Linked DNA regions of Kluyveromyces lactis. The main gene of each other region encodes a partner of the protein of the gene in region 2 in a complex. Links are inferred from orthologs where the notes say so. Each region holds a gene or a part of one and is shown on either strand. Other genes may lie near its edges.

Region 1 (5,348 bases), on a different chromosome or scaffold from region 2:
GAATTGAAAAATGAAGGTAACTATACTTTCAATGTTTTGGCCTATACTGATAGTAATGCGAATGTTCCACTAGAATGGACAGATTCTGATTCAAAAGAAATAGCGAAGGGGGAATCTGTGCAATTCAAGTCTTTCGGTACATCGGCCTATTCAGTGGGAGCTGAAGTCACTTATAAGTTCTAACAAAATTAATGGCTGAACTTATTGCATTTCCTTTTAATACTTATGCTACAAATAGGAACAAGATATAGTAGAAAAGGCACATAATACTTAATTCAACTCGAGAAAGCTCATACTAATTCAATCATCTTGGTGTCTTTTCCAAACTTCTATCCAAATCTTGAGATGTTCAATTAGCTTTTGTCTTAAGAGTCCTTCGCATTCTTCCTGCATAAATGGGAAAAGGTTGGACAATAAGCACGTTTTGAACAACTTTAATTTTGACACGGCTGCCATATCAACCCTCAACTCTTCTTTAACTCTAAGAAGAGCAGTAAAATCGAGTTTAATGTTGTCTGACTCTGCTGCTATTTGGATTATATCCTGAATTATTGCTATTTCATTTGCTAGATTTACGGTGTATCCATTATCCAATTTGACTGAGAGATATGTCAGCCTATCATAAAGCGGTTCGGCCACAAACTCAGGTATATCAAGTTCTTTTACTATTTGAAACTCTTTGCGCTCTTCAGCTAATTCATCAAAAATATCGTAAACTTGTTTTGGGTCAAACGTATCATTCAAATCGGTTCTGATCAATTCCACAGGAAACATCAGAGCAAAATGTGATTCACCAACAACATCTATAAACATATCAATTTCCTTAAACTCAGCATCTGTAAGCGTGCTTTCAGCTATAGTGAAAAAAATCATTATGTAGAAGAATGGAATCATTGCATGAGGATACCAGGTCTGATTTCAAAATAAAGTCGATAGCCGAACCAACTTGTGCGGCACATTTTGTCATATAATCAGATATATTGTAAGTGCTCAGGTTAACTGATATATCTTAATATTCATAAGTAAATAATATCTTCGAGTTTTCTGTGTCATTTTGACTTGACGCATTGACATGCCTCGAAAATGTTAAAAAAAGCCTATTTAAACTGATAAATCTGCTACAGAGGTAAAGGTAGTATTACAAGTAGTGTTGCTGTTTCGTTGGTCAAACTGCGTGTGGAAGCTTCTCTACAGAAGCAGTTAGCCCTTCTTGAAAAAAAAACTGGAGTTTGACATAAGGTTTTTTATCTCATTCAATTTATGTCCAGGAATCTTAGGGGATGGAGACCCAGTGGGTGGACTAGGGGAGGACTGTATAGCTACGGATAAATCAGGACGTGGAACAGGTTTAATCTTGAGGTCTTCCTCCAAAAATGTTTTCCATGATGGATCTGATACCCTCGATAGATTGTAAATAAAGTTTTGTAGTTCTCTAGGGTTGAAAATAAGGTCATCTGGTTTCATCGGTTGAGTATCATCATCTGATTGTTGAAATTCTGACCATACTCTTTTCCAAAGTGCCAAATCCCAAGGTACACCTTTTAGCGCTAGTATAAATGCCCAGAAATTTGAGTTTGTATTCTGACTTGCGGTTATTGCATAATAGGTTTCCAAGTATGTTGTATCAGGGTCAATAGGAGAGACAAGTAACTTTAAAAGATGCATTAGTTTTTCCACATTACTATCTATGTGTTTCGTGACTCTTTTAGCTGATGTGTCATGTTGCGGTAAACTTTCCGGAAGTGAATGCAACGTTGTCTTCAATAGTTGAACGTCTAACAATAATTGTTCTGCGATATTTATCACTTGCTTCACATCGAACTGTCTTTTCGAATTAAGAGTGCCATATGGTAAAGCTGGTTTCAAGAGCTTTATAATTTGAGATTCAAAAGAGATAGCTATTAAATCAATAGTTTTATCAATAAAATTCCAACCATAAAGATCTCTATTGAATTGAGAAACAGTGGAGTAAAATGTTGAATTTTCCGATCTTGTTGGTAGGAGGATACTCTGTAAGGTAGTCACATATCTGCTGTAATCTTCCACCATTGTATTAGCCCAATTTGTGTTTGTGAACTCCCTCCATACAAATTCCAAATCTTTCTTCAGGATGCGATTTAGTAGTAAATTGATACCACCCGATACGAGATCCATGTATTTTTGCCTTGTAGGTTCAAAAATGGCTGCAACTTTGTTGATATTTGGCTCATCATTCTCAAGATATTCACAGAGTTTATCTTGCAATTGATCAATTGTATTTGCGCAATAGTCTGCTGTATTGACAAGAAGAACGGTATATTTCACTACTTCATTCTTATCATCGATTTGTGTATCCTCAGGTAACAACAATGGTTTCAAAATCTTTTCATAATATTCATTCAACCATTTGACGAAGAAAACCGCCAATTCCACCATTATGGTCGATTTATTACCGCCTTCTATCAAGCTGAAAGTTTGAGAAAGAATGTGTCTATAAGTTCTAAACAAGTCTGCACTGGATGGAACGACAAGCGATTCATTTTTAGCTGGGAGCTTGGTCTCATTAAGATATGTCAACATCTTGGCGTTCAAAGATGAATCTTGGTGTCTAACCCATAATTTCAAATATGGCTCAAAGCAAGTGGATATTTTACCCTCGTATATATGGGAAAACTTCACTGATATGTATTTTTCAAACTCTAAGGTAGTTTGTAACGATTGCATGAATAGGTCAATGGAGGTGGTACCGGACAAATCTCTCTTCAATAATGTTTTCAAATCGTTAGACGTCATTGTGAAGAAAGAATCCGTTAGTTTCAAAGGTATCTCCCATTCTGATGGGAAATATTCGCTGAAAGTAGACTGGAAATTATTTAATACTTTTTTGAAGAAGATGTAACGTCTAGACAAATTCTCCAAAGAACCAGCTTCATCATCAATTTGGAAGATTTCTTTAATTTCATACAATAGAGAATCCAAACACAATTGCACAATCCTTTCTTTATAATGCTTATTAGTGTCCGCAAGGCAACATATACCGTCTTTCATCGTTTTGCTGTCATATTTACTGTTAGACCCATCCCTAAGCACTTCTTTCGTTACTCTCTCACACACCAATAGTGTATCACTCTCTAAACGATGAATTTGATTTAGAAACTTACAAAACTCATCCAAAGATTTATATTCGTGGAAAGATACAGATAAGGAATGCATAACTTTAAAGGGGCCGCACATTTCAATGTATTTTTCAGCTTGCATGTACTTTTTAGAGTTCACGTATGCATCACTCAAGATCTTCAAATTTTCAAAGCACGTCATCGATCTCGTTATATTCCTCTTAGCGTTATCCAAATCTGAAATATCATGTGTCAAGTCGGATATGGTTGCTTCAGTAATCTGTGACAGAGACTTCGTTGAATTTATCTTCTCAAACAACTTGTGGAAATCATAATTGTCTTCTAAACTATTGACTTCTGAACTGGTGTTATTGCTTTCTCGTACCCGCTCCTCTAAATTAAATTTACATTTTTCGGTTAATAGCACTAGGTTATCAATATCTGATAAAGATTCCTGCTTCGAGAATATCTGTTGAAGATCGTGTAAGGGATCGTATTCCAAAGATTCTGAAATCATTACTTGTTAAGTTCTAGTTATTCAATTCAAATTAATGTGCGTGATACTAATACAGGAAACAATAATGGGGAGGAGCTGGATAGAGAAGGGAGAATTATACCTCTGCAACTTACAATTGCTGGCTCTTTTTGTCATTTACTGATGATACAACAAAGGTTCTTGTTATATTTGTTTCTGTATGCAATAATTACTATGAAAGTCTGATATCAGAAATATCGAAAAAAAATACAAAGTCTTTAAAAGGTGAATTGACAGTTCCAAACCCTTTAACTATGAAAAAAATAATGCTCCAGGGGAGGTTCGAACTCTCGACCTTCAGATTATGAGACTGACGCTCTTCCGACTGAGCTACTGAAGCAATTCCTTTGAGTAGCTTCATTGACACTGTACATATACCAGAACGATGTAATCTTCGCACTGCATAATATATTATTGCTCAACGAGTTACAGTGTGTAGCCAACGATGCTGCTCTTACAAACATATGTTTTGCATATGGCAGAACAACAGAGTAAGTGCCTTCCTGAGCTATATATTGAAATGGTTTGATTTGCCAGGATCAGCGAAGTTTTAAGATACATAACTCTATTCTGCTATGATTATTCCTAGGATGTTGACGTGGATGCATCCATCACCCAGCTACATACCTATTCTTTAGAGTAAGATGATAGTACTTTCAGATCTCCAGAAACACACATGTACACATGCCTTATTCAGACACTTTGTCCCTAGTAACTATTGGCTAAAGCATTCCCATATTTTCTGCATATCTCTCAATACTGAAAAAAAAAAATGCTAAAGTATCTTTTAACAACATAGTTGAAATATAGAAAACAGTGCGTGAACAAAGGTGGCGAAGACGAAACTTGTACGTGGAAAAGCTATACCTTGGAAGGAAAGCAGATAATTCACAAATCCTTGAAAAGCAGCATGTCTTTGAAACTTCCTCAAAATCCTAATGCGGGATTGTTCAAGCAAGGGTACAATTCGTACTCTAATGCTGATGGTCAAATCAATAAATCGATCGCTGCCATTAGAGAGATTCACCAGATGTGTTTAACTTCTATGGGGCCATGCGGCAGAAACAAGATCATCATTAATCATTTGGGAAAGCACATTGTGACCAACGATGCTGCTACCATGCTAAGGGAATTAGAGATTGTCCATCCTGCTGTTAAAGTGTTGGTGATGGCATCTGAACAACAAAAAATTGATATGGGTGATGGTACTAACCTTGTTATGGTGTTGGCTGGTGAGCTTTTGAATGTTAGTGAAAAGCTTATTGCGCTAGGTCTTTCACCTGTAGAAATTATTCAAGGTTACACAATGGCAAAGAATTTTACTTTGGCAGAACTTGACAAGATGTCTGTGTTGGATATCAAGAACAAACATGAAAAAAGTGAGTTAATCAAGGTCATCAAGCCAGTCATTGCATCCAAGCAATATGGTTCTGAAGATATTTTAAGTTCCTTAGTATCAGACGCTGTGGCACATGTCTTGCTACCAAATTCCAACTATTTCAATGTCGACTCAATTAGAGTGGTAAAGATTATGGGTGGTTCCCTTACCAACTCATCTGTTATCAAGGGTTTAGTCTTCAACCGCGAACCAGAAGGACATTTGAAGTCCTTGCCTCAAGGTGAAAAGCATAAGGTTGCTGTGTTTACATGTCCAATTGATATCTCAAACACCGAAACCAAGGGTACTGTGCTTTTACATAATGCTCAGGAGATGTTAG
Region 2 (5,416 bases):
CTTCGCTTTTTTCCTTCTTAGGTTCTTGATCGTCTTCCGTGTTCAAATATTGTTGGAAATCCGGGTGTTGAGAAGCGATGTTATCAGTGTCCATGATTGCCTTATGGACCAATTGGTGATGAGATTGCTCCTCCGAATCGTTCCCATCGACCAAATTATCATCTAACGATGCTAATTCAGGATCCACAGCAGCTAGATGTAGCTTATTTTTATTCTTCTTAGACTTCTTATTATTCTGACCTGAAGAACCACTACCCTTGCCACTAGACCCAGTACTACTTTGCTCGCTTGGACGGCCTCTTTTCTTCACAGAAAGAGCAGCTGCCACAGCAGCTGCAGCGACTGCACTTACATCGTTAGCATCACGATGTTTCGCATTATCCTCCTGGTCCTGGTCCCTGCCCGGATCCTGATCTTGGTCCTGGTCTTGGTCTTGTTCCTTCAAAAACCAATCTACGGACTTCTGCTTGTTCACAGCGTCGTCTTCCCCAGATTTCTCTAGGCCAACTCCAACGTACTTGAAAACAGCCTCCTCAACAGACTCATGGTTCGTATCGTTCTGCGACATGATCAATGAAAACAATTAAGCTTTAACAAGACCCGGTTACCTCGATTGAATCACAATGGAATATGGACACGAGCTGGATATAAATGCTCTGCTTAACCTAAAACAATGTGTTTAAGATGGGAATACCCAGACAATAAGACTGATTGATACCTTAGAAAAAAAGTGGCAATTACTAATAATACAGGTCAATAAAACTCTTCCGTAGTTTACTTGCCTCTCGCTCAACAGACCAGAAATGCCGCGCGTACTTGAACAGTGATTAATACTCTCACACGCCTTAAGGTACCAGTGTAAAACTATCACTTTGGTGTTTTGTCAGGGTAAACAAAACAAAACATTCTAATTCAAAAGTATCAGAATCTCTAACTTTTCAAAGCTTCGTTGGGTCAATGTTTTCATGATGTTCATTGGAAAACGTTGACCCTCGTTAGAAATTGCGATCATATTATACGGAAAGCAGGGTAACGATACATACACAGACGCATATAGTGAGTCCACACTATCACGTGATTCATATTGCTAATATATATGCATAAATATTCAGTACAACTGAGATATCACCTATTCTATCATGCGCAGTGAACTGTTTACCCGATGGGTAGTACTTGTCTTAAACAGGAGGCGGGATATTGTTTGTTTGGAACAATTTCTCACTGGACTGTTGTAATTGTTTCCAGATGTTTTCGTACTTATCTGTCTTAGATCCCAGCGTACGTTGGAAATACCCTTGTAGTAGTAGCGTTATTTCCGCTAGACAATCAAGTGATTCGGCCATGATATTCAAGTTTTTATCTGTCTTTGTAGATAGTCTGTCTGTCAGTGATGATGATATAGATTCTATTGCCTTTGTATTGAAGAATTTCAAGACATCGGACAATTGACGTTCGCAATGTCTTGCATACTGTGATGGGAAGTTTGAGGCGAGTACCAATAAAGTTTTGATCATTTTGATGGCAAGGATTAGAGCCTCGCTTGCCACGAATGTCTTATCACCTAAGACAACGGATTTTTTGTGACCGGTAGAGGATTGCTTCTCATCCTTTGTTTCGTCTAATGGAGAAGGTTTGTTCAACTCGATGAATCGTGTCCAATTTGACGGATCAATGTCAATACACGATACAATATCATTGACATCCTTTTGCAATTCGGGCTCGACGATGAATGGTGTCCATCTCTCTACATCGATCTTTTGTTTCAAAACCCTTATGTTCAAATTTTGTAAAGATTTCAAATATGTATCGATTTGGAGGTTCAATACGTCAGAAAGATACTTCGTTAGAAATTCACCGCTTATAGATTCACACTCTCTCATGAAAAGCATGCATATCTCGTAGAACTGAAGGAAATGATCGAAACGTAATGTACATGTGATATCCCGTCTCACTGAGATTATTTTCCCCATTCGAAGCTGTACTATCCTTATACCCTCGTTAACGCTTTTCCGAATATCAAGATCAATAATCATCTTATCAGATTGCTCTGCCGTTGTCGGTAATTCACTTAGCGAAATGTCTAATAGCATTTTCTGATGCCGCGTTAACCTCTTCAATAGTTCGATTTCAGAAGTGAATATATTTACAAGCATTGATTGGAACTCTTGAGATGATTGTTCTTGAATCAACTTTGATAGCCTTGACCCATTGGCGGCAGTTGGTTTAGAGCCATCTTTCGACTCTTCAGGTGTTTGTCTCTCATGCGGTAGATTAACCTTAATAACAGATTTCAACTCTGCTATAAATTTATCCTCGTATAGCTTCACTGCCGGAACCAACTGATCACAATCGATTAATTGTATTAGATTTTCTTTGATTTGCTTTCGGAAGGTCTCATCGATCTTTAAATGAGGTTTGTTCTTATCCTTCCTAGATTGCAATTTGATGATCGTGTCATTTTTCGATTGAGACTTCGAATACGTCCTCAAATCTTCCAATAGTACGGTAACCAGACTCAATGAGTAAGATCCCCCGATGTCAACCTTCAGATTATTTAGCATGTCTATTATGCCCTGTAAACTAGAAAAACTTGAGATGTTTGTGAGTTTGTACGGCCACTGAGAGGTCCAATCATTGACAGTGGGATCATCATTGTCACCATTTATTAAGTTCTCAACTGCTTTAACCAATTTCAAACACTCTTGTAGTTTTTCTTCTTGATATATTTCTTTACATTCTTCACATTTTTCTTTCGCTAGTTTTACTTGTAGGATCCCCTGTTGTAACTTTTCCACATTTTTCCTTCTTATGAGATCTTTAATCATCTCAATTCTTTTTGAGATTTTATCCCCATTTATCCTCTCAAGGGCCTCAGCAGCAGAATCCAACTCGTTGATTGTCTCTGTCGCATTTTCTCTAATCTTATCGACGTCTTCCAAAGCGTCAAAAAAGCTTTGTATAGACTTGGAGATTTCAGAAACAAGGAGTCCCTCAACAGTATCTAAGTAGAATGCCAATCTTCCTTGAAGCTCTTCATAGCTGTCATTTCTAACTTTATCATCATCATTTAGTAGTTGATTGGCATCAAACTCAAAATCTCGTAGAAGCATTCGAAAGAAATTGGGGTGATCTAATTTGAACTCCTTATCAAAATAGAATTCAGGTATTTCTTCAAATGCCTTGGCTTTCGTATTTTGCAATCCAAGGGCAGTTTTATCATGATCAATAGATCTCATTTGCTCCATTCGGTTCAACTTTGATATATTATTTGTCGATTGATACACCCTATATTCGTCTTTAATGTCATCTCTGTATTGATTAATATCCTTGTCCCATTTATCCTTAATATCGTTCTTGCTTAGAACTACAGGGGGAATATCCTCGGTGGTTGGGTGCCGCAACCATCTTTTAAATCTGGTGTTCATCACAATTTCATATATTGAATTATCAACCAACGGTGAATAATCAAGACCGTGTTTTTGGGTATGCATCGTTGTAGAAAAAGAATTGAATGTGGAATCAAAACTACTACGCCTCATAGACATACTGTCCCTTATTTGATCCCTGTTTCTAGATAATACAGATAGATCATCGTTCAACGAGCTAGCATCATCTGAGGCATGACTGGGCACCAATAGTGGAGATCGACTTAATTGCGTCCTACTATCAGGAGTTAGAGATAGAGCTGGTGTCTCACTTCCCAGTAACCTATCCGGCATAGTTAACTCGCTGGTTTATAGTCTGTTGGAACAGCTTTTTCTTTGCTATGCATCTTAAAGGTGTATGTATCTGTTTACAATATGAACTTTAATCGATTTTCAGTTTTTACATATTCAATGATACTTCTAAAAGAAAGTGAACATGGTAGTTTGAGTATATAATTAAGCGCACTCTCTCAACATAAATAAAACACCGTAGCAAGTTAATCAATAGAAGCATTAAGCGCTGAGCGAGAGATCTACGCAGATGGATAAAACCAAGAAAAATTGTTGTTCTTCTAATTAATACTATTTACGTAGTGAAAAAAAAATATATATGCTGGTAGAGTGGTATTTTTAAGTTTAACCTCAATAAAAAAAATGAACTCCGAATATACCTAAGAGCACTTGAGCGATCACTCAGAATCAGAATCAGATCCAAATAAAAAGCTACCCGATGAAGGAGATTTTAATGGTGGTCTTCTTACCGTCGAATTGTGTTGAGATAAAGGTTCTCCAGTGATGAAGCTATGTGTCTGTTTTAAAACAGGAGATGCAGAATTGGAAGGTGTGATAAAATCATGAATGGAATTTGCTCTAGACTTCCCTATAGATGAGGTTCGCCTTAATGATAGTGGGTCTTTTGCAGTAAGCTCTAGTTCTTCACCGTTATCGTCATGCTCTTCGTCATCATGACTGAAACCAGGTTGGGAAGAATCTGCGATGAATTCGTTGTCCGGATGTTCATCGTTATCATCTTGTACCGGAAGGCTTTGATGGTATGTATATATTTTCCCTCTTGAGTCATCATCCATATATCCGTCATTCGCGTCCTGTATTGGAGTATCTAATCCAATGCCATCCGGTACATCGAGGATATCACACGAATTGTCCACAGTTACAAAGTTGGATGTATCCCCCGTGTAAACGGAATTATAATCATACATGTAGTCAAATCCTCTGCTAGTATTCACATTGTGTGATACTGCGTTACCATAATACCATTCATTTTCGTCTTCATCATAATATTCATCGTCAGATCCGTAGTTTAGAGTAGTGGCTGGAAGTGGTTTAATAGTTGCGTTTGGAAATTTGGATAGTGAGAGTGATCTTAAAGAATTTGCAACATCTGTGCCATCACTAGCCCCCGAATTGGTTCGATTTTTTCTAGTATGTGCACTGATAAATAACCCATCATCTTCGTCATCTTCGTCGTCATCTTCATCATAATCGTAGCTGTCAGCGTCTTCATCATCTTCGTCATCGGCGTAATCTTCGACGCTGTTGGCCCCTGAATTTCTATATCCATCGTCAAAGTCAGAATACTGATGCGAAGATCTGGCACCGTCCGACATATCGTCAGAGTGGTAATCGGTATTTGTCATTGGGACTTCGTCATCATTAGGATTAGCGTCTATGGGGTTATGATTAACCGCAATACATTGTTCGACACGGTCATTGAAATGAATATGTCTTTCCCTTTTTTGCTTTTGCTTCATCGATGATGTAAGAATCGATGATAATATGGGAGGATCAGATCTTGCGGATGGGGTTTCTATCACAGAGCCAGAGATTGGACCTGGAGTGGTATTTACTATCGACGAGTTTGTTTCGGTCACAACGGGCGAAATAGATTCCACCGATTCATCAGGCGGTGTATGGATATTTTTGTAATATTGTGCATTCACCTTCGCGGCAATAGCATCATAATCGTCATG
Region 3 (5,013 bases), on a different chromosome or scaffold from region 2:
TCCTGCAGATCTTCTTCCATTGTGATTTTGATATGCCTTCCGGAGGAGGTGGAAATTGTGGTGCCCTAACTATCGGCTTAGGTTTATCTTTGACATCTGAGGTATCAGCTGGAATCTCAGCATTTGAATTTTCACTGGTATCAGACATTTGAGCTTGTCTTCAATTCTTTATTCTCGAAGGACCATCTGCGATGAGCTTCCATATCGTTGGAATCTTTGAAAGCTTTCTCTAAACATTCGTTTCTTCTTCTGCATTTTTCATGTTGATAAAGTTTGAAAGTCACGTGGGTTTTATGTCACTGGATAATCGCTTCCTGTTTCGCGATTAACACAACGATTCGAATTATATCAATCCCGAGAGCGTGACACCATATTAACGTGCCAAAATTGATACTAGTAAGTATGTCCAAGCGCCTGATTGTACTTCTTCTCTTCTTGTTTTTTTTTTGGTTTATCAACATGTATTTATATCTAAATCTTTGAAACTTTGAAATGTAGAGAGCATTTAATTCACAGAGCCAAATGAAAATAATGGTTCTGTCGAGGTTGAAAAGAAAATACATAACTCTGGGTCACTATCAATTGACCGATTAATAACTATAACAGGGGGTTCAGATCAGTTCTTAGAAGATTGATTTTGAAAGATGTCCTACGCTACCAAGTTGGAATTACCATGGGTTGAAAAATACAGACCGCATTTATTGAAAGATATTGTAGGGAATGAGGATACGGTGCAACGGCTACAAACCATCGCTGCTGATGGTAATATGCCTCACATGATTATCAGTGGCCTACCAGGTATTGGTAAAACAACTTCGATACACTGTTTGGCACATGAGCTATTAGGTGATGCGTATTCACAGGCTGTATTGGAGTTGAATGCGTCTGATGACAGAGGTATCGAAGTCGTCAGAAATCAGATAAAGCATTTTGCCCAAAAGAAGTGCACGCTACCAGCAGGTAAGCATAAGATTATCATTTTGGATGAGGCAGATTCAATGACCAGTGGTGCTCAGCAGGCTTTGAGAAGAACAATGGAGTTATACTCTAATACGACGAGATTTGCTTTTGCATGTAACCAATCTAATAAGATAATTGAACCTTTACAATCTCGTTGTGCAATACTACGTTACTCGAAACTAACTGATGAACAGGTTCTCAAAAGATTATTGGAAATTATAAAGCTGGAAGATGTTCAATACACGAATGATGGTCTCGAAGCTATTATCTTCACTGCCGAAGGTGACATGAGACAGGCAATAAACAATTTACAAAGTACAGTTGCTGGTTTCGGTTTAGTAAATGGGGAGAACGTTTTCCAAATTGTTGATTCCCCGCATCCACTAATAGTCAAGAGAATGCTATTATCTGGATCTCTCGATGAATCGCTGCAATATTTAAAAGAACTTTGGGTTAAAGGCTACTCTGCGGTAGATATAGTGATAACTTGTTTCAGAGTAATGAAAAATCTCGATGAAGTTAAGGAAACGGTTAGATTGGAGATGATCAAGGAAATCGGCTTTACACATATGAGAATTCTTGAAGGTGTCGGGACTCATCTTCAACTATCAGGTATGTTAGCTAAAATTCAAAAGCTTAAATCGTAAATAGACTATTACCACATAATTAACATCCAAAAAGTAATCATAATGATTGTAAATATTTAAATGACCCAAAGTTTTCAAGCTTGGGGACCTATAGAAAGCATATAATTAAACTACTCCCCCGTTCGCTCACCGTCAGCATTTCGTTTTCCTGATGTGTGTGTGTATTACAACTTTCAGAAAAAATACGAAAAGCCTGAAATATATCAAAAAGAACATCGACTACACCGCAAAGAATACAGTTGGAAAAGAAAGATACTTCAAATTGTATTACACTCTGTTCGTGACAGAAAACCATATATTGAAATTATAATGGATGTTTTAAGCGATCTGTTAGAATTAGATGCAACTGAACTTCAACTGCCAGAGGATTCTCCATCAGGTAAAGATGATAACATTGATACTTACCGAGCCTACGTTGACTCGACCCTAAAAAAAGAATATCAATTACATACTGAATTCCTCAAGGAATTTGATGATCTCATGGAAAAGAACCAATCAATACGTACCTCTACTGAGACACTTATACCGAGTTTGAAAAATTACTTTGCCGAATTTAACAACAAGTTGAACGATTTGACTAAAGATCTCGATTTCGTTAAGGGTAAATTTTCTGAGTTTTCATCGTTACTGAAGAGTAACTCTTCGAAGTTGAAAGACATAAGTCCCATCGTTAATGATTTGATAATCTCTCCTGAAATAATATATCAAGTGTTAAGAGGCAAGATTGATCAAAAATGGATTGATTGTATTGATTATTTGAACGATAAACAAGAGATATTCCTGAAGTATCAAGAAGAAAATAAATCAGAGAGACCAAATGATTTCGAACAGTTGAATGAAATCTTACAAATACTAAAGGCAGTTTCTGCAGAAAGAGCTAAAAAATATATTGTGATAAGAATTAAGAGACTGAGGGACGGACATCCTGTGCCAGCGCAAAGAATTCAAGAGGAACTACTTCAGGTCAGAGAAATCTATCAAATGATCTACAATACCAAGTCGGACATAGCTACAGAATTACGAGAAGCATATATTAATACGATGAAATGGTATTATAAGACATATTTTGCAAGATATATTAGATCTTTGACAATTTTACAGTACGTCCAGATAGATTCTCAATACGCATTAGGACAAGGTCTTTCAAATACATCGGTTTCAGGATCTTATTCTAATTATCTTTATGCCAGTGGAAGAACGCTCTTTGGCGCACAAACTGCTTCCCACTTTAATGTCACTGATGACAGCATTAACGACTATTTCCAAATATCAAAACGGTTGGATCTTATCACGCAAGAAGATAGGACAGTTATGGTATCGCAAATTGCAGAGAATAATCCAATTGCCAATTACATCGAAGTTGGATTTAAAAATTTAAACTTGGCATTATTAGATAATTGCACTGCAGAATTTATGTTTTTGAATGAATTCTTCAGATTACCAACTGATAAAGGTGATCTAATACGAACCATTCTTCTGGATATCTTCCAGCCAACTTTTGATAATGCTATGGACTTCACGCATCAATTAATTGATACATCATTCGATATATTTGGTGTCTTAATCAGCATTAGAGTTGCACATAGACTACAATTCGAAGCGCAACATCGTCAAATCCCGTGCATTGATGATTATCTTGATGGTCAGTTGATTCTTCTATGGCCAAAATTTCAGAAACTTGTGGATTTCCAGTGTGAACAATTAAGATCTGTTTCAATAACAACCAACGTTGCCCGTGTTAGAGGTGCTGGAACCGCTTCAGACCCGTTAGTAACGCCTCACGAACTCACGGTACAGTTTTCCAAATTTCTTCTCAGTTTATTGAAACTATCGTTAACCCACAAGGAACTTTTAGATGAAAGGGCAGAACCGTTGTTCCACTCGATAAATAGAATTCGTGATGATTTCGAAACAATAATGACAAAATGCAGCAAAAAGACTAAAAACGCTGATAATTTCCTAACCACAAATTATATGTATATCTACAACGCCCTTCAACAATCGTTCCTCAGAACAGATTCTGAAAAGGAACCACTCATCCTCTCACAAACGAAAACTCATCTTTCACAGCTACTAGAAGCATATAGTAAGTAAATATATATATATATATGTATACGAACAACCATTACAGTATCTCGTTACGAATAACACATTCAATCTTCGATTTATTTAGTTGTGCCGTTTCTCGTTTATTTTAAAAACGTCAATAAACATAAACAGTTTCTACTTTATTTTCGGTTCCATATATATGCTAATTTGAGATGACCGAAACAGAATAGCTATATGAACGTCGAGTGACGAGGAAATCCATTGGGCTGATCCACTCAACATAGAGTGTAGTCTGTGGTCAATCGTATGATGAAAAGGCCAACTGATTCGCAGAATGAAATTATCCAATTCCCTTATATACCTGCTAGCACTCTGAAAGTTATTGCAGGACCCGGTTCAGGTAAGACATATACATTGCTATGCAAAGTTCGAGAGTTGATCCAAACGGGGCAGGTGAAACCCCGTGAAATTATTATTCTATCTTTGACTAATAAAGCAGTTGATAATATTACAGATAATCTTCTAGGCGTCTTTCAGGAATTAAGCGATAAACCGTACACTGACCATGAAGTTGATGACATTGTTTCCCAAATTGGTATTTACACGATCCATGGCCTCTCGAACAGGATAGTTACTGAAAATATGGGTATTGTGAACATAATCGAGGAAAACGGTTGGAGAGGTCTAGTCAAGCTCATTCCAAAAGATTTTTGGAATAAGAGAAATGTTAATACTGCTAATGACCGGATCATTACGAAGAAGCTTCAGAAACTTATAAATGAATACCAAATTGACACAGATAATATTGATGAGACCATTGAAAAAGTAACAAAGTTAATGAAGCATTCAAATGTTTTGACTAACGATGATTTAATCAAAATGGCTGTGGAATTCTTAAAAGAGCCGAATTCAGAAGAGGATACTGCATTCACCAAATTTGTACTAAATGAAGCCAAAGTTTTAATTATTGACGAATTCCAAGACTTATATCCAGGTATATTTAAACTATTAAAGACATTACTTGGTCAAAAACACTTTTTAATATTTGGAGATATCAATCAAAGCATTTATGAGTTTTTGGGAAGTAACAAAGAAGTCATGTCTGAATTGGACAGGTTAAGACCTGATGATAAAAAATTCACTAAGTACATCCATGACAATTTCCGTAGTACACCAGAAATAACTGCTGCAGCCAATGCTGTTATAAACCAAACCGTTCCTGTTCAGATTAAAAGAGAAAATATAGTAGAAAAACATCCTTCCGGAGTTTACCCCATCAAATACAATTGCGAAGAATTAATAGATGAATTGGACTTCATTGTGAGTGAAATATGTCAGCTAGTTTGTTCTTCTGCAA

What was found. The genes of interacting proteins can lie anywhere in the genome.
Region 1: VPS54 (region 2) and VPS53 share a complex: the UniProt entries of both Saccharomyces cerevisiae proteins name them as parts of the golgi-associated retrograde protein (GARP) complex. The link is inferred for Kluyveromyces lactis from reciprocal best matches to the Saccharomyces cerevisiae genes VPS54 and VPS53.
Region 3: VPS54 (region 2) and VPS52 share a complex: the UniProt entries of both Saccharomyces cerevisiae proteins name them as parts of the golgi-associated retrograde protein (GARP) complex. The link is inferred for Kluyveromyces lactis from reciprocal best matches to the Saccharomyces cerevisiae genes VPS54 and VPS52.

The regions. Positions count from the first base shown.
Region 1 is NC_006040.1:793,289-798,636, reverse strand, and holds VPS53 (Vps53p), read right to left. Parts: upstream 3,613-5,348; coding exon 1,201-3,612; downstream 1-1,200. Other genes in the region: spindle checkpoint protein MAD2, read left to right, coding at 1-183; KLLA0_D09416g (uncharacterized protein), read right to left, coding at 301-894; chaperonin-containing T-complex subunit CCT8, read left to right, coding at 4,541-5,348. UniProt on the Saccharomyces cerevisiae protein: Involved in retrograde transport from early and late endosomes to late Golgi by linking the vesicle through the t-SNARE TGL1 to the Golgi, leading to the membrane fusion between late Golgi and endosomal vesicles.
Region 2 is NC_006042.1:414,417-419,832, reverse strand, and holds VPS54 (Vps54p), read right to left. Parts: upstream 3,720-5,416; coding exon 1,179-3,719; downstream 1-1,178. Other genes in the region: KLLA0_F04389g (DNA-binding protein REB1), read right to left, coding at 1-568; RPI1 (protein phosphatase regulator REG1), read right to left, coding at 4,115-5,416. UniProt on the Saccharomyces cerevisiae protein: Involved in retrograde transport from early and late endosomes to late Golgi by linking the vesicle through the t-SNARE TGL1 to the Golgi, leading to the membrane fusion between late Golgi and endosomal vesicles.
Region 3 is NC_006039.1:336,239-341,251, reverse strand, and holds VPS52 (Vps52p), read left to right. Parts: upstream 1-1,916; coding exon 1,917-3,701; downstream 3,702-5,013. Other genes in the region: TRM10 (tRNA (guanine(9)-N(1))-methyltransferase), read right to left, coding at 1-148; RFC4 (replication factor C subunit 4), read left to right, coding at 645-1,607; HMI1 (ATP-dependent 3'-5' DNA helicase), read left to right, coding at 3,963-5,013. UniProt on the Saccharomyces cerevisiae protein: Involved in retrograde transport from early and late endosomes to late Golgi by linking the vesicle through the t-SNARE TGL1 to the Golgi, leading to the membrane fusion between late Golgi and endosomal vesicles.